Canis lupus familiaris: one gene and its partners. The protein of the gene in region 4 purifies or fractionates together with the protein of the main gene of each other region. This does not show direct contact. Links are inferred from orthologs where the notes say so. Each region holds a gene or a part of one and is shown on either strand. Other genes may lie near its edges.

Region 1 (4,293 bases), on a different chromosome or scaffold from region 4:
AGGCTTCCGATCAAGCGGCCCTTAGGAGGAGGGAGCAAGGAGAGGGAAGAGAAGAACCGAACGTGAGGGCAACCCCCATTCCAACCCTAACCCGGACGCCATCGCACCTAAGAAGCCCCGGTTCTTCTTCCTAATTCGAACCTCCAGCATCGGAGGTTTCCAGAAGAAATCCTAGGCTAAGGAAAGTCCCTCTAAACCCACCAGGTCCAGCCCACCTCAATCCTGATGGGGAAATCGAGGCCGAGAGAGAGGAAGGGACTCTTCCAAATAGCTGACTTTCAGATTGGAACCCAGAATTCCCAGTGTTACTACTGCAGACTCTCCCTCTTAGGTAGAACCACCTATTACAGAACAAGCCCAAAGCCTCAGTTCGTTAGCAACGGGCATGCGCTCTATCGACGGAGACCGCAGCACCTGCAGCTTGGGCCAGACGACACAGCCACGTCAACCTGAGACCTCAGGGAAGGGGAGGCGGGGAATGAGGGCTCCCGCGGTGCCCGTGCCCCTGCCGGGCCTCACCCGCAGCTCCCGGCCCCGCGGCAGCTCCTCAGTCTGGTGGTGCCAGCCGCTCCAGATGGTGTAGGTCGCCGAAGCCAGGGCCAGGGCCAGCAGAAGCAGAGGCAAGAAGTGCGCCCGCGGGAGCAGGCGGCGCTTGGGCGGGGAGGGCGGCTCCAAGAGGCCACGTTCCCCGAGCCGTAGCCGGGACCGCCCGCGGCCCCCGGAAGGCATGGCAGCTTCGCCCCGAAACCGGTCCCGGACCGCGGATAGTTTAGGCCCAGCCAAATCCCACCCCATGGAATCACCGAACCAATAAACACGAAGAGCGGCTGCACCATCCCACCCACCCTCGGTCAGTGAAACCAATGGCGACCCTCACTCTGAGAACACGCCTTCCTGTCTCCCTGGGGCTTTGGGGTTGGTTCCCCTGAGGGTTGCACAACCCAAAAGGGTAGTGCGAAAGGGAGAGGCTCCGCCTCAACGGAGGAACGGAAGCCAATGAGCAATGTTTGATCCTGAAAAACGTTGGACCAAGGAGCAGGTCTCCGCCCCTCCCGTAGGAAGGCAAAGGATTGGTTACTCGAAGTCGGAAAGATCAATAGACACGTAAACGAACCGACACCGATGGAAAAGGGGCGGTGCCCGTCCCAGAAGCGAGGAGCCGATTGGCTACACGGAGGCCGCGCCCCCGAGGGCGGAGCCGGCGGGCTTTTGGAATGCCGTGTCCTGTCCCTTCTTCAGCTTGTGCCGCTCTACAACGAAACGATTTGAGTCGGACCCGCTTTATTCTTCTCTCCATTGTCTTCTCTCCATATGGTCCTGAAAGACCCTGAGCTACTACGCAGTGCTTCTACCCCACGTCTGCGCGGGGCCGGCGCGGATTGCCACGGCAACAGGCCTCGCCCACACCGTGCAGGTTGGGATTGCGCAGGCGCCGACGGAAGTCGGCCACAGGAAACGGAAGTCCCGCCTGTAGCCCTCTCTTCAGAGGCAGGAGCAACGCGGGGAAGACGGAGCTGATCTGCGAGCGCAGCCGCTACCACCATGTGAGGCCCGGCGGGAGTGGGGTCGAGGGCGTAGATGTGGCCGTTTGCCGGTGGTGGGCGAGGCGGGATCGGAGGCAGAGGTTTTAGGGGTAAAGTACGCACCGTTCTGACGAGTTTGAGGATGGGCATGGGGCCTTTTACGGGTCCTGAGTTCGAGGGAAGGCACTTGATCAGTTAATGAGCCGGGATTTCCCCGATAATGAGTCTCGCTGAAATGGATTTTAAGGGGAAGCAAAGAACCTGGGAAACGGGAGTGCGGAGTTTTAGAAATAACGGTTTGAGGTACGGGACTTACCCGGACAATTTGAGCTGGAGAAGTTCACCTCATTCGCGACTTTTTCGGCTCACGAATCGCCTTAATGATTTTCCTGATTTGGTATTCATTCAGCAATTATTTATTGAGCACTCATGTATTAGGCACTGCTTTAACTACGTGAGATACATCAGTGACTGCGACCCCCATCCCGCAAGAAAAATGCCCTGCTGCAGCTTATGGGTGTGGGAAAAGGCAGACAATGAACACACCGGTGATAAAAATGTAAAGTGTATGGCGTGTGTTAGGTGATCAGAGCTAAGTGAGTAAAGAAGCAAAAGAGCAGGATCCAAACAATGGGGAGTACTAGTTTTGAGAGAAAGTAACTCAATAACCAGTGCAGGACACATTGAGAAGGCAGCAGTTGAGCAGAGACCTGAAGAACCTGAGAACCACAAAGATACCTGGGGAGGTATCCAGGCAGAGGGAAAACGAAGGGAGATGCCCAAGGTGAAAGTCTGTCTAATATCTTATATATTTTTTAAAGATTTTATTTACTTGTGAGAGACACAGAGAAGCAGTATCCCCACAGGGAGCCCGATGTGGGACTCGATCCCAGCATCCCTGGGTCAGGATCTTTTTTTTTTTTTTTTTTTAAGATTTTATTTATTTATTCATGATAGACATAGGGGGAGAGAGAGGCAGAGACTCAGGCAGAGGGAGAAGCAGGCTCCATGCAGGGAGCCCGATGTGGGACTTGATCCCGGGACTCCAGGATCGTGCCCTGGGCCAAAGGCAGACGCTAAACCGCTGAGCCACCCAGGGATTCCCCCTGGGTCAGGATCTGAGCCGAAAGCAGATGCTCAGCCATTGAGCTACCCAGGCGCCCCTTGCCTAATATCTTAAAGGACCACCTTCAAGGCCACTGGCTGGAACAGAGAAGGATGGGAAGATGCCAGGCATTGTAAAAACTTTGGGTTTTACTTTTTACACAGAGATGGGAGCCATGGGAGGGTTTCGAAGAGTGAAATGATATGACTTAGATTTTGATACAACCTCTGGGACTGCTGTGGAGAACAGACGGTCAGCGGCATGGGCTGAGGTAGGGAGACAAGTAAGGCTCTCAGGAGAGAGATGATAGAGGTTTAGGCCATGGTAAGAAACAGATTCTGGGTATATTTTAGAGGCAGATGACAGAATTTGCTGACATTGAATGTAGGATGTGAGAGAGAAGAGTCAAGTTGATATCAGGGTTTCTGCTCAAGGAACTAGAATGATGGAGATGAGGAAGGCTGTGGAAAGAGTAGGTTTGAGTGATTGGGAGATCTGGAGCTCAACTGAGGATGTATACGGTTGGAAATGTCTATTCAGCATCCAGCTGGTGATGCCATGCAAGAGGGACTGAGCAGGGGGGTGGGTGGGTTGGGGAGACATCATGTGACCACCCACGCTCTAGCTCTGGGCCTCTCACCTACGGGTTCCATGCTTGCCCCTCAGGAGCCTCCTCAACAAACCCAAGAGTGAGATGACCCCAGAGGAGCTACAGAAGCGGGAGGAGGAAGAGTTTAACACGGGTCCGCTCTCTGTGCTCACACAGTCAGTCAAGAACAACACCCAGGTGCTTATCAACTGCCGCAACAACAAGAAGCTCCTGGGCCGTGTGAAGGCTTTCGACAGGTAAGCACCTGGGTCCTGGAAGGTGTTCTGTCTTGGAAATGCAGACACAGTTCCAGTGTGAGGAACCCAAATACAAGGTTTTCAGAGTCCTGGGGCATAAGCATATTCAGACCTCAAAGTGCAATGGTGTCTTGTTGTCCTTCCAGCTGTGCAGTACAGTAGTGATGGGCATGTACTTGGGAGCCAGGCTTCCTGGGTTTGTGTCTCGACTCTGCCTCTTAGCAGCCATGAAACCTTCAACAAGTAACTTTATCTCTTCCATTCAATGGCAGTAATTCTGGTGATTGCAGAGATTCAGTGACTTAATACATGTGATGTGTAATACAGTCATTAGAAGTACAGCATCTGGCACCAGGAAGCTCTTATTAATCAGGTTTTGCAGTTACGATATAAAGTACCATGCCCCAAAAGAAAAAAATAAAGTACCATGCCCAGTACTTTTTTTAGGCTCCAGAGACACAGCAATGACTGAAAGAGGACTCCTATACTTAAGAGAGCTTATGCCATAGGTAGGGAAACCAACAGCAAGCACACAAACAATGTGTCATAAGAATAGTAAAGGCAGGTGAGAGTGTGGAGTGCTGGGAAGGAGGTGTTGTCCTAGACGGTAACGCTAGGGGTTCCATAGGAAGAGACCGTGATGAACAGACCTAAATACAATGAAGGAGGAAGCCAGGGTCTGAGTGTTTCAGCCAGAGGGAACAGCAAGTGTTATTTCCTCTCTCGGCCTCAGTGTCCTTGTCTGCAAACTGTGCGTCATAAAAATACCCCTCATAGAACAGTTGTGAGGATTAAATATTTCTGTAGGAAGGGTACTTG
Region 2 (4,126 bases), on a different chromosome or scaffold from region 4:
GGTCTCCAGGATCTCGTCCTGGGCTGAAGGCGGCGCTAAACCGCTGAGCCACCAGGGCTGCCCTACTATTATTTGAAAGAGAATTTGCATGCACAGGGAGGAGCAGAGGGAGAGGGAGAGAGAATCCCAAGCAGGCTCCTGGCTGAGCCCAATGGTCGTGCTCCATTCCACTACCCGAGATCATGACCTGAGCAGAAATCCAGAGTCCCACGCTTAGCCAACTGGGCCACCCATGCACCCCAGTCCCCACAGTTATACTGGCAATACTAAAGGGGCTGAGGTTGGAAGTGATGGAAACCCTCTTGCACACAGCTAGAGTATGTATATTAGTATTATTTCAGCCTCTTGGCCTGTTAGGCATTACTTATTGATGATAGTATACCCTATGCCCAGAAGCTCTACTCCTGGAGAAACTTGGACACGTGTGCATTGGATCCACGTACAACAAAAATGCATAGCGGTATTCGGAACAGCCCCACGACAAAACGATCCTAATGTCCATCAACAGCAGAATGGCTAAATTGTGGTCTGAGATATACCATGGGATTCTGCACAGCAGCGAAAAGTAAACAAACCATTGCTGGATGCAACCTGGGACGGATTCCAGTTATAACACAAAACCAAAGACACCAGGCACGGGAGCACGCTGCGTGACTCTATTTGTATCAAAAGCAAGCAAAAACTAATCTGTGGTGTTGGGATTCCTGGTTGCCTTTGGGAAGGGATGGAGGCTTTCGGAAAAGTGTTCTTTTTTCTGGACCCGGAGGCAGCAACGCAGGTGCGCTCCCTCTGCGGGTATTCTTCACGTTGCAGATTCCTGGTTTGCGCACTCTTCTGTATCCCGTGCTTCTGTTAAATATTTAAATACCTGGAGGTCACAAGCCTAACCGAAAACTGAACTGTGCGCGGGGCAGGGTCGGGCGCGCTAGGTGGTAAGACGATCCCAGCGGGGCGGGCTGTGATCGACCCTGCCCTGGTGGGGCGGGAATCCTGAAGTCCTGAACCTTTCACTGGATCCCCCGGGTGCCCGTCCCTCCTGGGTGGGGCGAGGGCAGACACAGCGTTTCCTCCCGCCTCAAAATGCATTGATGCATGAGAAAGTTCTATTCGGGTGCGATTACATTTTGCTTAACTTGCGGACAAGAGCATCATCAGGAATCAGGGGCCCTCCTTCAAGCACGCCCCAAGGAAAAACCCAGAACCCGAGACACGTTCCGCGCGCTCCAGCAGCTCCGCAGACGACGAGATCGTGGGCGTTGCTCACGATCGATTACTTCGGCCTGGGTGCCGAGCGGCGCGCGCATGCGCCGGCTGCGATTGGTGAGGCCTGGCGGCGGGGCGCGGGGTACGCCGGGAAGTCTGGCGGGCGGGAGGCGGCGGGAAGCAGCCGGTGGGCCGCGGCACCGGCAGCGGCAGCGGGAGGCAGCAGGATGGTGAAGCTGACGGCGGAGCTGATCGAGCAGGCGGCTCAGTACACCAACGCCGTGCGGGACCGCGAGCTGGATCTCCGGGGTGAGTCTCGAGGAGTGGGTGGGCCTTCGCGCCCAGCCGCGTGCTCGGAGGGCCGGCGCTTGGCCCGCGGGCCTGCCTTGTGGGCGCCGAGCCGGACTGTGGCAGCACCGCCCGGGGCTGCGTCTTCCCGGTGCTGCCAGAGACCATCCCTAGGCCCTTCTGAGCCTTGGGTTACCCTCGTTCCTACTCACACGCCCAGCCAGTAGATCGCTTCCTGGTCCACAGCCGAGGGCCTCAGGCAGGCCTTGCTTGGCGTAGTTCTCAGTCTCAACTATTTGAGAGCTGGCAAGTTGTTCGTGCTGGTAACGCTAGTGCGCAGCGGCTGGTTGGTTCTTCGTAAATACGTTCAGGTGTTACTGTGGGAGCGTAAGTAAGAGAACGTGTTACCTGTAATTTGCGAGGGGGGAAATGACGTCGGAGAACAAAAGCGATTGCTTCCGCAAGATTTCTTCCCTCTTCCCTTCAGTTGTCCCATATTTCTCTTTTATCAAAGCATTTGAGGGGCACCTGGGTGGTTCGGTCGGTTAAGTGTCTTTGATCCCCAGGGGTCCTAGGATCCAGCCCCGCATTGGGCTCCCTGCTCCGAGGGGAGCCTGCTTCTCCCTCTTTCTCTGCCCGCTGCTCTCCCTGCTTGTGCCATCTCTCTCTCTCTCTCTCTCTCTCTCTCTGAAATCAATAAGTAAAATACTGAAAGAAAAAAAAAAGGTTTTAAAGAGGCTTGCAGTACAAGTTCCCTGTGTAAGGCGGTAGAAGCTCTGAACTATTCAAATTCACGTAGCCATTTCAACCTTAGTAAAGGCTTGGTGGGAAATTGGGAGTGCAGCTGTCTAATCAGCATATCAAGGAAATGACTCTAGGAATGATGTGAAGAGCAGTTTCTCTGGGAATACAATTTGGGCCTGAGATTTGGCTCCACAGAAGAACACCGTCTGAGGTGCAGCACTGTTGTGGGCTTTGCCTTAAGCTTGGATTCCTTGCTGACAAAGCCAGACTGCTTTCATTTTGTTGAAATTAAGTGTCGCTCTCTTGGCGAAGATTGATCTTTAACCATCTAAGCGTGAAGTGCATCGAGTGTTGAGGCTACTTGTTTTGATATAGCGTTTGCTTTGCTACAACCCTTGTTGCTCTGAATTATGTACTTTAACCTTGGCTTGGATTCGTTTCTTTCTTCCGCCAGCACCTAGCACAGTAGTTATGCCCATTTAAGACAAACTCGTGAGGGTTTGGTGAATTGTTCACAGGGTGATGTATTATTGTGTATAAACTGTTGACCTTCAACTCTGAATTGGAGCTGGGGGAAGTGTACAGTAAGGGAGAACTGTCATGAGATCACAAGGATATCCTGGTAAGTTTTATGTATCTGGCCTGTGGGAATGCAAACAGAGTCAAGAGCTGTTGTCCACAATGTATGAACAAGACTTGGACGCTGACAAAAAAGCAGCTTACAATGTAAATTCTCATTATGCCATTTACCTATTTCTGGAGCTTTGGTTATAACAGCGTGAGGGACCTTAAAAAATACTCCTGCAAATGTTAGCTACCAATATTACTATTAATAAGTGTCGGGTGTTGTCATGACTGACTTCATGTCCACTCCTAGACTGTGGCAGTGGGCCATCTGATCCTTGTTCCTCATTTTATGTGCCAGATACTTGCACAGTGTTTGGCACAGCACAGGTACCAGGTAAACACTTTCTAAATAAATGGAAGCTTTGAGTCAAATTACCATGAAGTACTGCTAAGGTTTTAAGGTATCGTTTAGCCATATCAATACTTGTGTATTTTTTTTTTTCCTTCTACTTTGCAGGGTATAAAATTCCTGTCATTGAAAATCTGGGTGCTACCTTAGACCAGTTTGATGCTATTGATTTTTCTGACAATGAAATCAGGAAACTGGATGGTTTTCCTTTGTTGAGAAGGCTGAAAACATTATTAGTGAACAACAATAGAATATGGTAAGTGTCTGCTAGTGGAGAGTAATTCTCCCCCCGCCCCCCAGAGTAAATATTGCAGCATTCCCTGAAGAAGCCATAGTACATATACTGCCAGTTGAGCCTACGTATTCTTATTTATTTATTTATTTATTTATTTATTAAGATTTTATTTACTTATTCAAGAGAGACTTGGAGAGAGAGGCAGAGACACAACACAGGCAGAGGGAGAAGCAGGCTCCATGCAGGGAGCCCCATGCAGGACTCCATCACGGGTCTCCAGGATCACACCCTGGGCTGTAGGCAGCGCTAAACTGCTGGGCCAGTGGGGCTGACCTATGTATGTCTTTTTTTTTTTTTTTTTTAATGTATTTCTTTTTAAAATGAGAAACAAGCTACACTTTTGCCATATAGGCCCATAGATTAACTTGGTAATGGTCTTGTTTTTATTTGCATTTGTTCAGAAATACTTATATATTCATGGTAATAGATATTTAAATTGCAAATATTCTGTTTTGTGCATATTTTGGCTTCTAAAACTAATTGTAATTATCAGAGGGATTATATTTAGAAGATATGTAAAGTTCAACAATTTTATATAGATAGATAGACTGATTTATTTTAGGGAATGAAAGCCCATGCCTGAGAGCAGGGAGTGGTGCAAAGAGAGAGAAATCCTCAAG
Region 3 (4,076 bases), on a different chromosome or scaffold from region 4:
AAAGGGCAGTTTCCGTTATAGGTGCCGGAGGCTGAGGCGCGCCGCCGACCGCACTCCCACGTGAAGCGCTGCGCGAGCGTCGCTCTGCGGGGTCGCCCCCCGCCCCCCGCCCCCCGCTCGCCGCTCGCCGCGGAGCGTCCCGGAAGCAGCGGGGAACCGGAAGCGGCCCGCGGCGGCGCGGAAGCGAGGCCCCGAGGCCGGCGTGAGGCGCCTCGGAGCGCTGCGGCGGCGCCATGTCCCTGATCTGCTCGAGTGAGTGTGGGCTGCGGCGGGTCGCGGGTCGGAGCGGGAGGAGGCGCCCGCGGGGCCCCCTGAGGGGCAGGGCGGCGGCCTGTCAGCGCGGGGCCTCCTCCTCCGCGGCGTGGGATGCGTTCGCGCAGCGCCTCACGGTTGACGCGGCGCCTCAGGTTTATGGTCGCAGACGTCACCGAGGCCGAGGACCTCGCTCGCGCCTTGAGCCGGGGCCTGGACGGGGGGAGCCGGTGCGGGAGACCCCGCCCCTCCCCCCGCCCCTCCCCCCGGCTTTGCGGTCGGACGCGGGCTCTGCGCCTCAGTTTCCCCGTCTGCAGAGAGGGGGCGTTGCGGCGGGCGTGTGCGGGCCCGTTCGGGCGGGCAGAGCCTCTGCAGCTTGCGAAGGTCACGCCGCGCGTCAGAGGCAGTGGCGGGGCTGGAGCCCGGGGCACGACCACACCACAGGGCGCCTTCGCTGAGCCCTTGGCCGCCGCGCCGGGCCCGACCTCGGTGCATCCCTCGCAAGCCTTCTCCAGAGCAGAAATGAAGGACGGGGTGTGCAGATGAGGGCCTGAGGCTGGAGGAGAGTGTGGCACAGCCGGGTGGGGGCCGCTTTGAGCCCCGGAGGAGCCGTGGCGTTTTGGGTTTTTTTTTTGTTTTTTTTGTTTTTTTTTGTTTTTCCTGCCTTGTACCGTCTTCCCTTTCGGCACTTTGACGCGGCGCGCAGGTGTTTTCCCGTGTCCTCAGGCTGCTAGAGCATCCCTCTCGGATGTGCTTCCGAACTCGCAAGCCCTGAGCTCTCTCCTCTCCTCAGAACCTCTCCGGGAATCCAAACGGAGGGAGACGGGAAGGAAGGGAAATGAGGGCCAGGAAAAAGGAATCTTTCATAGCGAAGAAACTGCAGCTTTTGCAAGATATTTCACGTTCGTTGTTTGCTTTCCATCTCGAGGAAGTTTTTTTGTTTTGTTTTTGTTTTGTTTTTGTTTTTCCCCGCTCCCCCCCTCCCCCCCCCCCCCATATTCCCAGCACCATTCTTCCTTTTATTTGATGGTTTCGTTGGATGTGTACCGGGTGCCTGCTGGGCATCTGCATCGCGCTGGAAGTCAGACCAGCTGTAATCCCTGTCCTCAGAGGTGTGTAGTCTACTGAGGCAGGTGTGTTCGGGGGTTGCTGTGAGGATGAGCCCATCTATAGAAAATGTTTACGATCATGCTCGGCACCTGATACACCATATAAGTGTTTCTTCTTAATGTAACACTCGTCAGAGAGCTTTGTGATTTTTTTTTTTTTTTTTTTGGTCCAAAATCCATCTTGGCTCTAGACTGAGATTTGAGTAGCCGTGTGTATCTCTGTGTCTTCCAGTATGATGGGTGCCTGGGCATCTTTTTCCAAACGGAGACGGGTGGGGATTGATGATTGACCACTCCGTAGATGTGTGGCATGTGGCAGTTGTGTGCTAATTGTTGGTTGACTACCTGCCAGGAGAATGATGGAGAAGCTAGTTATGTAGCTGAAAGGATGCTGGGGATACTACAAAAGTAGTGTCGTGTCCTGCTTTCTGTTAGTTGAAAGTGGGGACGTGTGGTTTTGTTGGGGCCAGTAGCCTGTGAGGCATCGCCTTGCCCCAGGGTCCCTTTCACCGCCCCGCGCTCACCGCCTGCCTTTTCTCCACAGTCTCCAATGAAGTGCCAGAGCACCCGTGTGTGTCCCCTGTCTCTAATCATGTGTATGAGCGGCGGCTCATTGAGAAGTATATTGCGGAGAATGGCACAGACCCCATCAACAACCAGCCTCTGTCTGAGGAGCAGCTCATCGATATCAAAGGTGCCTTGGTGGCTGGCCTCCATCCAGGGCTGTTTTTGCTCAGAGCTTGAGAGGCTGGGAGGTGGCACCAGTGCACTGGAGGAGGAGACGGTGTTCTGTTAATGTAGGCTAAAGGGGAAAGAGATGGGGGACATGAGGAGTCCCCGGGTTAGAGTTCTTCATACCCGCTCTCCCTCTCTTGGCAGTTGCTCACCCAATCCGGCCCAAGCCTCCCTCTGCAACCAGCATCCCAGCCATTCTGAAAGCTTTGCAGGATGAGTGGGTGAGTCCCTGGAACAGAACTGATGTTTGTCTGCTTGAAGAGAAGGGATCACTGCACTAGGACTTGGGGTGGGGAAAGACGGAGTATTATTTTCTTTTTTGAGGGGCAGGATGATAGTGGAGGAGGAGCCTGGTTGTTGAAGTCCCACGGATCTGGGTTCCACAGTTAGCTCCCTTGCTCCCTTGCCACATACCCTTGGGCATATTGCTCATATGTGAGTCCTGGTTTTCCTGACTCTACGACAAGGATTTGTGCCAGTCTCTCAGGGTGTGGACAGAATTAGAATAAAGGTAGAGTATAAACCTTGCGACATCAGGGATTTGATTTATTAATTGGTATATCCCCAGCACCAAGGGTAGCACCTGGTATGTAGTGGTGCTCTGGAAGACGAATGAGTGACTACATCTTGAGTGGTCGTCTCGCACAGTACCCGGCACAGTGAGGGCAGTTGATTAATGGCAGCCTTAGTGTTATGATTCCCTTGTGGGGAGGTGACGGAATGACGTCGAGATTTGCCTATAAATCAGAGGCGATGAGGGTGGGAAAGAGCTGGCTCCCACTCCTGTCTGTGCCCAGTATTTGGTATGAGGTAGCAGCTCCAGAGTGGCCACCAGCACATTCATGGTCCCTCACGTGTTGTTTGGGTTACCAGTACTGGTCTAGGCTGTGGGAATACAGGGCAGTGTCCTCTTCATCTCTTGATCAAGGGCTGACTCTTCTGCTGGGTGTTCCCTGCTCCTCCTCACCCCCTCACAGTGGCGTTTCCCTTCTTCAGGATGCAGTCATGCTGCACAGCTTCACTCTGCGCCAGCAGCTGCAGACAACCCGTCAAGAGCTGTCCCACGCTCTGTACCAGCATGATGCTGCCTGCCGTGTTATTGCCCGGCTCACTAAGGAAGTTACAGCCGCCCGAGAAGGTGCCACCTATGCCCCAACATCCCCCACTCTGGGCTGGTCCTGCTTTGTAATACCCCATTTTTAATGTATTCTTTTCTCTCAGCTCTGGCCACCCTGAAACCACAGGCTGGACTCATCGTGCCCCAGGCTGTGCCGAGCTCACAGCCAAGTGTTGCAGTGAGTGCACCTCCCCCTTCCTGCCTGTCTTGCAGCCCCTGTGTGCAATGTCTCATGTGGCTCTCCTGCAAGTGTCCTGGGTGTTCTGTGCCTCCCTCACCTTTAACCTTCTTGTCTTCAGGGTGCAGGTGAGCCGATGGATTTGGGTGAGCTGGTGGGAATGACCCCCGAGATTATCCAGAAGGTAAGTTGTGGGAAGTCACTTGGTGGGAATGCTGGTGGGCCCTCATGTCTCACCATCTGCCTTGAATCCAGTATGAATAGAAATCCCACCCATGTGGGACTCCCAGCAGACCAGTGCAGCGCACAGACTCAGGCCACACTGCCCAAGTTCATGCCTCTGTATCACTGCTTAGAAGCTTTATGACCTTGGGCTGACTTAACCAAGTCTGTATCTCATTTTCCTTTTTTTTTTTTTACATTGAGAAAAACAGTGTCTGCTTTGTAGATCTATGGGAATTTAAAAGATTGTAATTACCGATAAGTGCAACTTGTAGCTCTTACTGTTAGCGGGGTATTGGGGTTCTTTGCATATCATAAAACACTGGTTACATTTTCACATTTTTTTTTCTCTGATGGAGACAGAAGGTGAATTACCATCTTTAGTTTACAGATAAAGAACTGACACCTTTGACAGATTCAAAGGTACAGGTCACAGAAGGCAGAGCAGGCCAGATATCAGGGC
Region 4 (4,039 bases):
GATATTCCTGACCTCCGGAGGAGGATAAATAATTCCCACCACTGGCTTGGAGGGGGTAGAATCCTCCTTTGAAGAAGCTTCTTCTTCTGTGGGCTGTGAAAAACAAAAGGAAAGGAAAATGATGTCTCGACACTCCTGATCTGGGGGACTGGATCCCTACTGTCAACCTCCTCTAAAATTTATTGCCAGTATAGACTCTCTCTTACGAACTTTTCTTGAGTTAGGACCCATTGCTCCAGAAAAGCAGTTCTCTTAATTGTACAGCACTTGCATGGAACTCTCGCAGGGAACCAGTGAAGAGAGCAGCCTCCTTGGCTTCCTGCTGCTAGCTGGTCTCAGTGACACTGAGAATCTGCATTTGTACCAAGAGTCCAGATAATGACTGCTGAATAAAGATAGGCGATTCTTTGCTGGCAGCTCCTTATGTCGTTTTCCTCTGCATCTATTCCAGTCTTTACCACTCAATGCTCAAATGTTTTGTGAAACCCTACTGGAATATACATCAACTATCCTGTAAATTCCAATATTCTTTCTTCACCAGTTTCTTTCCCTTAGTAAACAAAGGGTCAGTCTCTCATCTTAAAAAATAGCAGTTCCCTGCCCTCATATTCTTTTCTGTGGCTGTCCTCTCCTCCTCTTCCTCTGATAGCTAAATTTCCTGAGTTCTCTGTCTTGCCATTCCTACCTATTTCCTCAGCTCCTGTTTGGTTCCCATCCATTTCAAGTGCTCTTGCCAAATTTGGTCAAATATGACTGCCTACAGCCAACTACAGCAGTCATCTATCTGGTCATGTGACCATGACCATTCCCTCACAAACCTCTCCACTCAAATCCCAGGCCCCATTCTCATGTGTTTTGCCTTCTTGCTCACCATTCCATCCGAGTTTCCTTCCTGGCTCCTGTTTCACCTCCTGCCCTATATTAGAGTTCCCCAAAATTCTATTCTCCACAGTATTCACACTGTCCTCAGGCACTCCAACCATGGGTCCTTCACTTCCCCTACCACTTCTAGGCTGAACAATCACACACAAATTGATGTCCCCGATCACTCTTGTGTGCCACAGAACTCCAGATCCAGCTGACTCCCAGGCACTTTCCTCTCTAACCACTTTTCTCATAACTGGCCAACAATATACTGTCATCCAGGGCAGAAACATGGGCCTCCTTTCCCTTCCTCAGCCTCCACATTCAACGATAACATTTATCAAGCACGCAGTAGGTTCCATATACTTTTCTAAGAACTTTAAATAAATTAACGCTATAGCCTTTATGAGAGCCCTTTCATGTGAATACTCTTATTCCCCCCCATTTTACAGATGAAAGAACTGAGGAACATAAAGCTTAACTGGCCCAAATGGAAGACCAGGATTCCAAAACTTTAGTTGGATTCCATCACTTTAGTTGCAGAGTCTGTACCACCAGCCATATTGTGACTTGAGCTTGCCCATCCAGTCTGCCCCCCCAAACCACCTCTCAGCATCTTTTGAGTAAACTGTGCTCCTAGCAATTCTCATCACTACCTGCCTACCTGAATTTCTGAAACACAAACATGTCATTAACCAGCTCCAAACTCTTCCCTTTCTCCCCACTATCTACTAGGAAAGTTCAAATGCCCCCAAATGCATCTTTTGCCACCACTCTCCCAATCCTATGTTTCAATCACACTTTTTAATTTACTCTTTACCAGAGACATCATCTGATTCCTACCCTGATGTCTTTGCAATTATCTGGTATTACTTTGTTTACTTTTCCCCAAGTGACTTGGGAAATGCCAGGAATACAGATATATTTAAAATACTTGTGGTAAGGGTACAGACCTCTTCTATCATGTACTCTGCTGTATTCTAAACCCAAAGCAGTGGTCACCATATAGCATGTATTGAATAAATGTTTGCTTAATGAATAAAGGATGCCATTAACCTTTTCCAATCACCTGTCTGGCAAACTACTAATTCATCCTTCTAAAAGCCATTTACCTGTCACTCATGTAGGCTTCACCTACTTTAATTTCCCCTACACTCCATCAAAGAAATGTTGCTTTGTTTCTTTTGTACCTGATACTAAAAGTGCCTATCACACAGTACTGCAATTATTTACACACCCTTTTCCCTCTCAGCTAATAAGTGCTGACTGTATCATTTACGGTGATCGAAAAAATAAACATTTGTAGAATATTCATCTTATATCTGCCTCCCCACTAGAACCATGAGCTGCCTACACTAGTTGTGCTTCATTCATTCTGGGTAAGCCGGAGCATGGTACGGTGTTTGGCTTAGAGTAAGCACCAAGCAGATGCTGTGAACTGTCTAAACTGTACCGTACAGGATGCGAAATTAAGGACTGCTGGGCAAAAGCCGGCGGGAAAGGCGAGGGTGAGGAGGGCCAAAGGTGGGCCCAATAACCACAGAAAACCTGCGAATGGGCATAATCAGTGTTTCTCAAACTTTAATCAATCACCTTGAGATCTTATTAAAAATGTATTAATATTTAGGTCTAGCATTTCTAATGAACTCCCGGGCAATGTTGATGCTGTTGGTCCGTGGACCACACTTCCAAGGGCGCTTTCGTTACCGAAGGCCGCGCAGAGCGGGAAGCGCGCGGCCTCCTGGGACTTGTAGTCCTCCAAGCCCTCGTAAGCGGCCGCTTCTTCCTCTGCCTTAGTGAGGAGTGCCCGCGCTGGAGGGGAGGGCCCAAGCCGAGGATAGGGCTGCCGGTCGAGGTGTGGGGGTCGCGGTACCTGTTTGGGCTCGGTGGCCGCGGGCGGCGGCGGGGGCACCGCCTGCACGGGTCCGGCCGGCATGACTGCGACGCTCAGGGCTGCCAGTCCGCCTCGCTGAAGGTGAGCGGTGCTGCGTCAAAGCAGCTCCCCGCACGGACGATACAACAAGCTCGCAAGATGGCGGCGTCCGAGAGACTCGACGCCAAGGAGGAGGAGCTGACGCACTTCCGGGACCGCCCCTTATTCATGATGCAACTTCCTGCTCCCGCCCTGGAGTGATCAGCGCGAGACGCCGTTGCCATGGCAGCGATCGAGGCACCCAGCTAGGATTTGTGGGGGTTCCCCGGAGCCCTAGGCGCGTCGGGGGGCAGTTCCATGAGCCGACCAGACCACAGGGGCTGAGGCTGCGACGCAGGATCCTGGGGAGACGTTCTACATCACCCACCGGACGCTCTCCGCACGCACCCCACGGCCCTGGCCCCCCCTCTCCTTTACTTTAAAGGTGGGTTCTTCTCTCCCTCCGACCCCGCCTTCAAGGGCCTTCCGCTCCCTCCCATTGGCTTGTCATTTTGGAGAACCCCTTCCCCTCCAACCTGCCTCCTCAAGGCCCCGCCTCCTTCCTCAGCCGGTTTCGCTTCATGCCTTCTTCCTTCAGACTCCCTTCCCAAGTCCCGAAATCAAATTCCCACTGGTTTCTCTTCCCGTGGGACTGCCTTTCAAGGTTCCACCCTCTGCCTTCCATGGTCCCGCCCTCAAGCCCCGTGGACCGTCTCGAATCAAGACTTCTTTAAGCTCCGTCCCTCACTCCCAAAGGTGCGTTCCTCCTGACCACTTCCTTAGTTTTACCGAGCTCACCTCGAATCCCGCTCTTTCCATTTCCTTTCCTGAGATCCGGTCCACCTCGTCCCCTCTCCTCTCCATCCCAGCTCCGGACCGCGGGTCGACTTTTAGCCTTTGCTTGGATAGTTTAACAATTTCTTTACTTGCGAAATGGAAACGGGATAGGAAAAGATGCCCTACCAAATGTCTTACCCCATCTCTCTTTCTCACAAGCACACACTCCGTAGCTGGTTTATGTCGTTATTTTTTTTAAAGATTTTATTTTATTTTATTTTATTTTATTTTATTTATTCATGAGAGACACAGAGAGAAAGAGAGGCAGAGACACAGGCAGAGGGAGAAGCAGGCTCCATGCAGGGAGCCCGATGTGGGACTCGATCCCTGGTCTCCAGGATCACACCCTGGGCTGAAGGCGGCGCTAAACCGCTGTGCCACCCCGGCTGCCTTGTCGTTGTTATTATTAATGTAGAATGATAATGA
Region 5 (4,287 bases), on a different chromosome or scaffold from region 4:
AGGGAGCCTACTTGTCCCTCTGCCTGTGTCTCTGCCTCTCTGTCTCTCATGAATAAATAGAATCTTAAAAATAAATAAATAAATAAATAAATAAATAAATAAATAAATAAATAAAATCACCAAATCTCAGTTCCAACTATCAGACAAATTAGGTGTGTGTTCTGATGTAAGCCTGCCTCCAGCTATGCAAAGCTCCCCATCACAAGGCCACAGCAACATCAGACAGCTCACCTCAAATGGGTTCAAATTGAAGTAGGAAGAACCAGGACGGGTCAATCTTTCAATCTGATTTTTGGATGTTAGAACGGAATCTCTCTTCTCTATCTGTTTCACCTAAAATGAAGGGAGATAAAAACTTCATTAGTAAAGTTCAATAATAAACTCTGAATATTAAGCTACTGACATGTTCAGCAAACATTTGTCTACATGTGGAAGACAATTTTTTAAATGTTTTGAGGAATAATTCCAACAGCTATCATCCACTGAGTTCTAATAATATAAAAACTTGACACATATTTATCCCTCTCAACCATCCTATACAGTTTTTACTATTACCCCATTTTACAGTTAAGAAAACTGAGATTTAGAGAGGTTAACTGTCTTGTTCTCAACTACCCAACTTGTAACTAGAATTTTAATTCCAACAGTCTGAGGAATCAAGAAGATTCAAACATAAATATGTCACAGCCACCACCTTCAAAGAGCTTCCACTATAATGATGGAAGATGTACTTGTGCTGTTCATACTTAATTTACAGCTTTTTATTTAAAAATACAATTACACTGAAATATATACTAAAACAGCATTTAAAAAAATAAAATAGCATTTAAAAAAGTATATGGGAAGGGCAAGTAACTCTGCCTACCTAACCTGAATAAGAGTTAGAAAAATCCCTGGCCCAGGGGCTCAGTTGGTTGGATGCCGAGCTCATTTCCACTCAGGTAGTGATCTCAGGGTCGTGGGGAAAAGCCCTGTGTCTGGCTCTGTACTCTGTGCAGAGTCAGCTTGGAATTCTTTCTTTTTCTCTCTCTCTCTGCCCTTCCCCCCATATACATACATAAAAATTAAAAAAAAAAGAAAAGAAAAGAAAAGAAAGAAAAGAAAAGAAAAAAAAAGAAAAGAAAAGAAGGAAAGAAAAACCCCTGACCCAAAGACAATGCTAAGAAGAACAGACATCAGGTAGTGCCAGGAAAACATTCTTGGTGCCACTGTCAGAGTTATAATACTAGTTGAAATGAATCACTGGTATGTTATATACCATCTTTATTCCTATGAACAAAAAGAGTTTAGGAATAATTTCAGTAATCTAAAAGGCCCTTCCTTCTCAGTATCCTTCCTTTTTGCTTTCTTTAAAACAACATGCCACTCCCCACCCCCTCTACTCTACCTTCTTTCCCGAATTTATTTTCCTCATGGTACCTATCACTACCTGATACAATATTGTATATGTTTGTTTATTGCTTATCCTTCTCTATAGAATGCAAGCTCTATGAAGACAGGATTTGTCTCTGTTGTTCACTACCATACCTCTAGCAACTAAACAGTACATTAGTACATGTCAGGTACTCAAAAAACATTGGTTGAATGGTAAATGAAGGGTGCTCCTTTAGGTACTTTCTCTCATTAGATTCAAACAAACCAAGATTGCTTTTCTTTTTTGTTTTCTTTTTTCTTTTAACTAAGATATAGTAAGCGAAACAATTTTCAGTATTAATTGCAACAGAAGTCCATCTTCAGCTTTAACTCTTTGAAAGACCCTTTCTTATACATTAATTCCTTTAACGCTCATAAAACTCTTTTTTATTTCTTATTTTTTTTAAACTCATTTTAATATTAACTCTCACTTTACATAAGTGGACACCGAAGATCTGTAAAATCAATGCCTTGAAAAAATGCAATCACGGTCCAATAAACTGTGTTGCAAAAATCCAATCCAAGGTCCTCTGATTCCAAACGGCATGCTTTTCTTTCATTTATTCATTCATTTATTCAACAAATATTTACCAAGGAATCACCATGTTCTAGGCGCTGGAAACACGACAGTAAGCGAGGCTCAGACCAAAGTGACTCCAGTCCTAACATGATACCAAGCTGTGATCTGCTTTAGGATCCAGAACAAATTATTTCACCTCCCTAAACCTCAGGCTTGTCATCTGTAAAACAGATAATGCTACCTGGCACGATGCATAGTGCCTGGCGTCCACAAATGTCAGAAACAACCACTACTACAACTCATGACAGAGAACTAAAAGTGGACAGTGCTTCCGTTTAGAATAAAAATGAGGTCCACGATTAGTTAAGTCGCCCCCAAGAAGGTCAGCCTCTGCCGGCCCCTGCCAGCCTCCGACTCCGCGGACTTCGGAGACCTCTGCACGCGCCCAGGCACTTCGTTGGCCACACTCGTCGTCTACCCGCAGACGTGGGACCCTGGCCCCTTTTTCCAAGCCCAAGGGATCCCCTAGCAGCTATCAGGCAAAGACGCAAACACACCCCCAGCTCGCCCCCCCCCCCATCCCCCGCCTTCCCGAAGGCCGGACCGGAGGAGCCGCCCAACGGTCCAGGCCAGGAAGACCACTGCCTTTGCCCGCTGGGAAAGTAGGACCGGGCGGGGTTGCCCTGGTGCCATTACACCCCACTCGGTGTTCACCTCACTGTAAAAGGTCATAAATGCTTCCTCGGTGCTCCCTCCGCCAGCCGAAGCCCCGCTCTCTCCTGGAGCCGCCATTTCCCCGGCCCAACAACCACGTGACTCTCCTGCGCAGGCGCAGCCTCCTGTGATTCTTACAGGCCCGCCTCTCTAGCCCCGCCCCTTTCCTTGTGACTCTTAAAGGGTTCGCAGCCCAGCCAGAGACCTCTAACCTAAACAAACACTCATTTCTAAATTGACGTGGGATCCACAAAATATATCATTGAAATTAATAATTCGGTGTTTCTGAGTACACTTACAGTGTTGTGCAACTACCAACCTCTATCTAGTTCCGATTTTAGTATATGTGTTGCCTAAGGAGCACGTCACTATCTAGTTCCAAAACAGTTTCATCGCCTCAAAAGGATACCTGGCACCTATTGAGCATTTCCTCCCCATTCCCCCTTCTACTCAACCCCTGACAACAACCAATCTGTGGTCTGCCTCTATGGACTTACCTATTCTGAACATCTCAAATAATTGCAATCACAGTATGTGACCTTTTGTGTCTGCCTTCTTTCACTGTGCACAATGTTTTCAAGTTTCATCCAAGGTGTAGCGTGTGTCGTCATTTCATTACTTTTTATGGCTGGATGTTATTCTGCTATATAAATATACCACACTTTGTTTTCATTCATCAGTTGATAAACATTCGGGGACACGTGGGTGGCTTGGTGGTTGAGCATCTGCCTTTGGCTCAGGTCACAATCCTGGGATCCTGGGATCCTGGGATCCTGGGATCCTGGGATCAAGTCCCATATCGGGCTCACCAGGGAAGCCTGCTTCTCCTTCTGCCTATGTCTCTGCCTCTCAATCTATGTCTCTCATGAATAAATAAATAAAATTAAATTTTAAAAATTGAGGGACGCCTGGCTGGCTCAGCGGTTAAGCGTCTGCCTTCAAGCTCAGGGTGTGATCCTGGAGTCCCCGGATAGAGTCCCACATCCCGCTCCCTGCACGGAGCCTGCTTCTCCTCCCTCTGCCTATGTCTCTGCCTCTCTCTGTGTCTCTCTTGTGGATAAATAAATAAAATATTAAAAAAATTTTTTAATTGATAAACATTTAGATTGTTTCCATCTTCTAGCTATTGTGAAATGATGCTGCTATGAAAATGTCTGTACATGTATTTGAGTACCAGTTTTCAGTTTGGGGGGGTACATATCTACAAATGAAAGTGCTGACTCTTATGATAATTCTGTATTTAACTTTTTAAGCACCTGCCAAACTATTTTCCACAGTAGCTGAACCATTTTACATTCCCACCAGCGATGTACAGGGGTAACGGTTTCTCCACATCCTCACCAACACTTGTTATTTTCCATTTTTTAAAATTACAGCCATCCTAGTGCCTATACAATCCTTTGCACAAACTCAGCAAGACCCTCCATTGAATGCCCAGCCTAGGAGATAATCAAGAAACAGCAATACCTGAAAACTAAAAACAGAGTTTCTGAAACTAGAATGGCACTTATATACTGTCTAGAAACACAGGAAATTATTACCACTAGTAGTGGGCTTCTAAGTGATTATTATTTCTATCCTTCTGCTTTTGTATTTTTCCAAGCTTTCTGCCATGAACTTTTGAAAATGTGCCCTGCATG
Region 6 (3,500 bases), on a different chromosome or scaffold from region 4:
GTGTTTTGAATCTAGATAAGGATCTTACACACACATACCTCTGAGCCCTTGTGGGGTTGCAGGGTCACCTGAGCAAGAGAGTGCCTCGCAGAGCAGGGGGCCACCTGTGACTGGGAAGCTCTGGGACGTCTCTATTTGTAGGGCCAGATGAACTCTTCCCAGAGTGACTTAGGGACACGGGGTGCCATGTTTCCTTGACCACATGACCCCTGCCCCTTTCAGGAGCCCTTAGGAAATCCCGCTCACAGGAAGTTCCTCAGTCCAGGCTCTGGCCTGAGACCTTCCAGGCCTGCCTGCCAGGAGGACCTGGTGCATGTGTGGAGGTGGGGATCCCGGGTGTGGGGGGCGGTGGTTGCTGTGCTGGCTCAGCCTTGAGGAGCGAGCCTGGATAGCCCTGCTCTGAGCTCTGACTCTGCTGCCACTGCTGGAGCCTGTCCTCAGGTTCACACCACTTATGAGATGGTGAGGGCTGTGTTAGGAGCTGGGGGGCACACGCGGGACCCCTCCCAGGCCTGGCACTGCCCCCAAGCTGCCGCTGCAGGCAAAGCGGACAGGAAGCTGACCTCCTGCACTCTGGTTCTCTTCTACTTTTTCTGACCTGGCTTTTGTCTCCATAGGGAACTGCACATGGGGAATGAACTGTAGGTTTATACACCCTGGAGTCAACGACAAGGGCAACTATTCCTTAATCACCAAAGCCGAACCTTTCCCGCCTAATGGTGCCCCGCCTCTTGGACCTCACCCACTGATGCCTGCCAACCCATGGGTGCGTGAACATCTGTTTTCTTTAGTTGCTAGCAAATGGGACATCTAAGCTCTCTGAAGCTTCAGCTTACAGCACATTAATACACCCCGTGTAAAAGGCACTTCTGTGACATCACACAGTCACTGAGTTACCTTCCAGATGCTTCCAAATCTCCATGTGGAGGTAATCCTAGATTTGGGCAGGGTTGTGGGTTAGGGACCAAATCAAGGTTTGGAGAGCAGGTGGTGTACAGCCGAAAGATACTCTAGCTGGGGTTTTTGTTCCTGTTTCTTTATAGATTTTAAAGTTTTGCTGGCTTTCTCAACTTTTCCCTTCTCGTTTTTTAATAGGGTGGGCCAGTAGTTGATGAAATTTTGCCTCCACCCCCTCCAGAGCCCCCGACAGAGAGTGCCTGGGAACGAGGACTCCGGCACGCAAAGGAGGTAAACCAGATGGCCCGAGAAGAAAATGCTAGCAGCAGTCCTTGAGCAAAAGTAGCATTTCTTTGATTCAGAGACAACGATTGAAAACCCAGTGAAGTCTCTGAAGTGAGGGGTATATTTCTGTGATTTCTCTGAAGAGTTAAGAGTGGAAACTGATGTCTGTCGATGTCTCCACGATGCACCAGCTCACGAAACAGGCCCACTGCCTTCCTGTGGCCTGGGTGGCAGCAGATTCACCCTAGCTGCTGCTGCTCTGCTGCAGCCCCTGGCTGCCCAGAGCCACTCCTCATAGATGTAGCGCAGGGAGACCCCTGCCAGTGGAGGAGCCGCCCTCTCCCTCCCCACTCGCTCTGGTCATACCATGGCCCCAGCTGTTGGGCCTGCTTTCTGAGCCCCTACTTCTCTCCAATGAGGTTTTCCTCCCTCACTCAGCACACAGCCCACCACCTCTCCTTTCTTCTGAGACCGGAACCACTGCATGTGGCTTTTCTGCCATGAGCAGATTCACCATTCTCTCTGTGTTGGGCCACCTCACAGTGACTCTCTGCCACTCCCCATCTCAGTGTTAGGACTATTTCTAGGAGATGGCCAGCTCTGTCACCCCTTTCTGGAATGGAAGCAAGCTCCGAGGCACTGCTGAGCCGGCCTGTCCTGACTGCCAGGTGTAGAAATGGAGTGCTCCAGGCCTAGAGCATAGGCGCATCTCCCCTACCACGGGCTCAAGTGGGCTGCTTCTGCCACTCTGGCCTGGGCTCTGTGGGTCAGATCAGGATGGGCTTCCCTTTGCTTTTCCTAACAGTAACTGGCACTGACTTCTTCCTCCTTACGATGGTAGGTTTTAAAAAAAGCAACCATTCGAAAAGAACAGGAGCCTGATTTTGAAGAAAAAAGGTTTACGGTGACCATTGGCGAAGATGAACGGGAGTTTGATAAAGAAAATGAAGTTTTCCGAGATTGGAATTACCGGATCACCAGAGATGTCCGGGACACAGTGTAAGGAACAGTTCGGCCTCTTCCTTCCCTTTTGAGAGAGTATGAAGTTGTCCCCAGCCATGTGAGCCCTAGGCTCTGGAGAGCATCAGCACACAGGTTCCCTCAGGCATTGGGTGCCACGTGTGTCCCTGTCCTGGGCTGAGAATGGCACCCCCAAGATCCCTTTGAACTTTCCTTGGTTTTTTGCTCTGTGAAGGAGGTGTCTCAGCTCTGTCGGGGCTGCTGCCTGGGGAGGGCTCACCTTCCTATGGGTTTCTCTGAGTTCTGAGAGTTTCTCTGCCTCAGAGAAACTGAGCCCCGTGGAGCTCACATGGAGCCCCGTGTGTCGGCCTCTGCCCACCCTCCTCCAGGCACCCAGGAGCCAGGGAAACTGTGACATTGCCACCAGAGTCCAGGAACTGGGCAGGTGTGACCCTTCCCATTATAAAAGCTGTGTTTGTTGATCCTTCTCCTAGATGTTTCATTACTGGTCTTTTAGAGACTCGTGACAGAGGTACATATGGTTGAAATACCTAAGTCCAAATTTAGAAATTGTGTAATGTTAAGTAAAGTTCTCATCTGCCTGTGCTTATCCCATGGGGGGAAGGCCGGCTTTGTGGTGCTCCTCTCTGAGGGGCAGAATCGGGCGAGTTTCTCCTGGGCAACAGCAGCAGCGTGGGCCCAGGTCACAGGGATGGCATGGCATTCGGTGTGTCGTCAGAGCCGGCTTCAGCAGCATCTCAGGCTTTTAGCGACATTTCGCGCATTCACGTTTACTGCCAGGAAACCTGCCGGGGTCTGGCTGAGGATGGTGCGGAGAAGGACTCATCTGGTGCTTGCATGTCAGGCTGTCTCAGGTCCCTTCTGTCACACCTCCATCCTTTATGCAAACAGGAAGGTCCACACCTATCATGGCAGGAGACATCTCAGAGGCTGAAGGGTAAAGATTTAAAGATGTAGTTTCCACTTCGTTGTTTTCTAATTCTGGATGTGGAGGTGTGTTAGACCCCAGACAGGAGCATGGGAGTCAGGACTTTGGCTGCCAGGTCATATGCTCCCTTCACACCCTGAGGCCTCACATTTTGCTTATGTAAAAATCCAGGTGGTGATCTTGCCTTGCTGGAGGTAGGGGGGTGAGAGTCCGGAGAGTCCGCGCATGTGCATGGGGCACTGTGACTAGCACAGAGCAGAGAGTGAGTATGGTCATTCTGAGCATGGAAAGAAGGGGTTTAGAACCTCAGCATTTCCCCTTGACACTCCGTTTCCCGGCCCTGGCTGCCACGGAGATCCGCGGCTATCCTCCAGGCCAGCTGGGTGCAGAAGTCCAGCAGTCAGCATGG
Region 7 (2,259 bases), on a different chromosome or scaffold from region 4:
TATATTTGTGTATGTGACACCAATTGCTTTAAAGGAAATCAGAATAATATGAGGTTTCAGTAACATGGTTAGTGACCCTGTGGCACTGACCATAATTGCTATTTGAAGTAGATGTTGGGAAAGTTAAGAGAATTCATGTTTTCTGGTCTAACTTTGTAGGAATAGAAATAAACTAGGTCTTTTGTTACCCATTTGTTCAGATATATTGGCAAAGGCTCCAATAATTGGGTATTTCTAAGATAATGCCATAATATTCATTCTAGAAAATTGTGCTTTTCTTTTACAAAATCTCACACTAAAAGCAATGGGAAAAATAGTTTGAGGCAGAGCATTCAAAACTTGTGCAACTTGGGAATTAAAGTACTAAAAACAGTAAGATTCCTTCAAAAAGCAGTTAAAAAGATGTGTTAAATTCCTAGTAACAAGGAAAATACTGCAATATATATAGGATCTTTTATTTAAAACAAGACTTACAGGGGCAGCTCCGGTGGCGCAGAGGTTTAGCGCCGCCTGCAGCCCTGGGTGTGATCCTGGAGACCTGGGATCGAGTCCCATGTCGCGCTTCCTGCATAGAGCCTGCTTCTTCCTCTGCCTCTCTCTCTTTGAATAAATAAATAAATCTTTAAAAATAAAAAATAAAACAAGACTTAACAGCTTGGTGACATGGGGAATAAGGAAGTTATGGAGATAGTGAGAACGCCCTGAGATGAGAATACCTGGGCACAGTGGGAATGAGTCAGGTATCACTCAGGGTTCCTCCGTGGCTTGCTGCATTCACATCTGTAAGCATACCTAATCATGCAAAACATTAATGTACTAGAGATAATCTCCGAAGAAAGGATTTTTGGTTTATATTGACATTATTCACCCATTAACCAGTTGTACTAAATTGTGTCCTAGAGTCTTACAGAATAGGCAGTGTCCTAGAGTGTAGCAGAATGGGCAGTATTCTTTTGTATTGTGTTATTTACTTCGGCTTGATAGATTTACTGGTTGCCTTCTTTATCATGCTAATAAGCTCTCTCTTTTTTCCCCTGTAGGTGTAGATGTCAGCATGAATACACATCTTAAAGCTGTGAAAATGACTTTGAAGAATAGAGAACCAGTACAGCTGGAAACACTGAGTATTCGAGGAAATAACATTCGATATTTCATTCTACCAGACAGCTTACCTCTGGATACACTACTTGTGGATGTTGAACCAAAGGTGAAATCTAAGAAAAGGGAAGCTGGTAAGTTTGAAGGATTATAAACATTATTTTTTAAAGATTTTATTTATTCATGAGAGACACACAGATAGAGGCAGAGACATACTCAAGATTTTTCAGGTTTTTATATTCCAGTTAGTAAACATACAATGTTATATTAGTTTCAGGTGTACAACATAGTGATTCAACAGTTTGATATGTGGCGAATGTACTCTTTAACCCCCATCACCTATTTCACCCATCTCCCCATCCCCCTCCTCTCTAGTAACCATCAGTTTGTTCTCTTACATAGTTAAGAGTTTGTTTCTTGATTGACTGATCTTTCTCTTTCCCAAATTTGCTCTCTTTGATCTTTATGTTGTAGGCTTGACTTGAATATCTTGTACTTTGACCATTTATTTAAATAATAGAATCCTAGGAAGAGAAGTTCTGGGAGGGGAGGCTGGACCCATAAGCTTGAGTCTCACTGTAGGGTGGTTCAGAAGTGAGTTAGCCTCTTCACTGAGGAAACCCAAAATTTCAGGATCTAGAGTCATTTCTGAAGCTTTGCACTCCCCACCCCTCCCACAAAAAGATTCTGCTCATCTATTGTAGGAGATAATGCCTAGCAGCCAGCATTATAGGAGTAGAGCAGGAGAAAGGGCTGGGTGTTTTGTAGACAGTCACTTAATACATTGATTTTGAGACTTTTATGCCCTCTTTCCACTAAGAAATATACTTTGTTGGGATCCCTGGGTGGCGCAGCGGTTTGGCGCCTGCCTTTGGCCCAGGGCGCGATCCTGGAGACCCGGGATCGAATCCCATGTCGGGCTCCCGGTGCATGGAGCCTGCTTCTCCCTCTGCCTGTGTCTCTGCTTCTCTCTCTCTCTCTCTCTGTGACTATCATGAATAAATAAAATCTTAAAAAAAAAAAAAAAAGAAAAAAAAAAAAGAAATATACTTTGCATCATGGCCCATTCATGCATATAACCAAAACAAAAATCTCAGGAAGAATTAGTCTTAATACTTGCAAATGTCTATATGTTTTCTATGCTCTTTTAGTTAAGAAAAA

Evidence for each region.
Region 1: the proteins of SF3A1 (region 4) and SNRPD2 fractionate together in Homo sapiens (co-fractionation; 3 studies listed by BioGRID and IntAct, with this or other methods). This does not show direct contact. The link is inferred for Canis lupus familiaris from reciprocal best matches to the Homo sapiens genes SF3A1 and SNRPD2.
Region 2: the proteins of SF3A1 (region 4) and SNRPA1 purify together in Homo sapiens (affinity purification with mass spectrometry; 6 studies listed by BioGRID and IntAct, counting the BioPlex papers as one, with this or other methods). This does not show direct contact. The link is inferred for Canis lupus familiaris from reciprocal best matches to the Homo sapiens genes SF3A1 and SNRPA1.
Region 3: the proteins of SF3A1 (region 4) and PRPF19 fractionate together in Homo sapiens (co-fractionation; 3 studies listed by BioGRID and IntAct, with this or other methods). This does not show direct contact. The link is inferred for Canis lupus familiaris from reciprocal best matches to the Homo sapiens genes SF3A1 and PRPF19.
Region 5: the proteins of SF3A1 (region 4) and DNAJC8 purify together in Homo sapiens (affinity purification with mass spectrometry; 4 studies listed by BioGRID and IntAct, with this or other methods). This does not show direct contact. The link is inferred for Canis lupus familiaris from reciprocal best matches to the Homo sapiens genes SF3A1 and DNAJC8.
Region 6: the proteins of SF3A1 (region 4) and ZC3H18 purify together in Homo sapiens (affinity purification with mass spectrometry; 3 studies listed by BioGRID and IntAct, with this or other methods). This does not show direct contact. The link is inferred for Canis lupus familiaris from reciprocal best matches to the Homo sapiens genes SF3A1 and ZC3H18.
Region 7: the proteins of SF3A1 (region 4) and SNRPD1 fractionate together in Homo sapiens (co-fractionation; 4 studies listed by BioGRID and IntAct, with this or other methods). This does not show direct contact. The link is inferred for Canis lupus familiaris from reciprocal best matches to the Homo sapiens genes SF3A1 and SNRPD1.

What each region holds. Positions count from the first base shown.
Region 1 is NC_049222.1:110,602,083-110,606,375, forward strand, and holds the start of SNRPD2 (small nuclear ribonucleoprotein Sm D2), read left to right. Parts: upstream 1-1,493; 5' UTR 1,494-1,542; coding exon 1,543-1,544; intron 1,545-3,294; coding exon 3,295-3,474; intron 3,475-4,293. Other genes in the region: QPCTL (glutaminyl-peptide cyclotransferase-like protein), read right to left, coding at 1-20, 520-795. UniProt on the Homo sapiens protein: Plays a role in pre-mRNA splicing as a core component of the spliceosomal U1, U2, U4 and U5 small nuclear ribonucleoproteins (snRNPs), the building blocks of the spliceosome.
Region 2 is NC_049224.1:40,139,848-40,143,973, forward strand, and holds the start of SNRPA1 (U2 small nuclear ribonucleoprotein A'), read left to right. Parts: upstream 1-1,326; 5' UTR 1,327-1,430; coding exon 1,431-1,512; exon of another isoform or gene 1,513-2,029; intron 2,030-3,319; coding exon 3,320-3,467; intron 3,468-4,126. UniProt on the Homo sapiens protein: Involved in pre-mRNA splicing as component of the spliceosome. Associated with sn-RNP U2, where it contributes to the binding of stem loop IV of U2 snRNA.
Region 3 is NC_049239.1:55,998,423-56,002,498, forward strand, and holds the start of PRPF19 (pre-mRNA-processing factor 19), read left to right. Parts: upstream 1-1,276; 5' UTR 1,277-1,291; coding exon 1,292-1,364; intron 1,365-1,905; coding exon 1,906-2,055; intron 2,056-2,240; coding exon 2,241-2,317; intron 2,318-3,092; coding exon 3,093-3,234; intron 3,235-3,317; coding exon 3,318-3,391; intron 3,392-3,512; coding exon 3,513-3,575; intron 3,576-4,076. UniProt on the Homo sapiens protein: Ubiquitin-protein ligase which is a core component of several complexes mainly involved pre-mRNA splicing and DNA repair. Required for pre-mRNA splicing as component of the spliceosome.
Region 4 is NC_049247.1:23,910,286-23,914,324, forward strand, and holds the start of SF3A1 (splicing factor 3A subunit 1), read right to left. Parts: upstream 2,801-4,039; coding exon 2,738-2,800; exon of another isoform or gene 2,690-2,737; intron 94-2,689; coding exon 1-93. UniProt on the Homo sapiens protein: Component of the 17S U2 SnRNP complex of the spliceosome, a large ribonucleoprotein complex that removes introns from transcribed pre-mRNAs.
Region 5 is NC_049223.1:71,586,672-71,590,958, reverse strand, and holds the start of DNAJC8 (dnaJ homolog subfamily C member 8), read right to left. Parts: upstream 2,801-4,287; 5' UTR 2,726-2,800; coding exon 2,648-2,725; intron 334-2,647; coding exon 232-333; intron 1-231. UniProt on the Homo sapiens protein: Suppresses polyglutamine (polyQ) aggregation of ATXN3 in neuronal cells.
Region 6 is NC_049226.1:65,225,645-65,229,144, reverse strand, and holds part of ZC3H18 (zinc finger CCCH domain-containing protein 18), read left to right. Parts: intron 1-617; coding exon 618-766; intron 767-1,095; coding exon 1,096-1,188; intron 1,189-2,023; coding exon 2,024-2,181; intron 2,182-3,500.
Region 7 is NC_049228.1:66,463,568-66,465,826, reverse strand, and holds part of SNRPD1 (small nuclear ribonucleoprotein Sm D1), read left to right. Parts: intron 1-1,040; coding exon 1,041-1,232; intron 1,233-2,259. UniProt on the Homo sapiens protein: Plays a role in pre-mRNA splicing as a core component of the spliceosomal U1, U2, U4 and U5 small nuclear ribonucleoproteins (snRNPs), the building blocks of the spliceosome.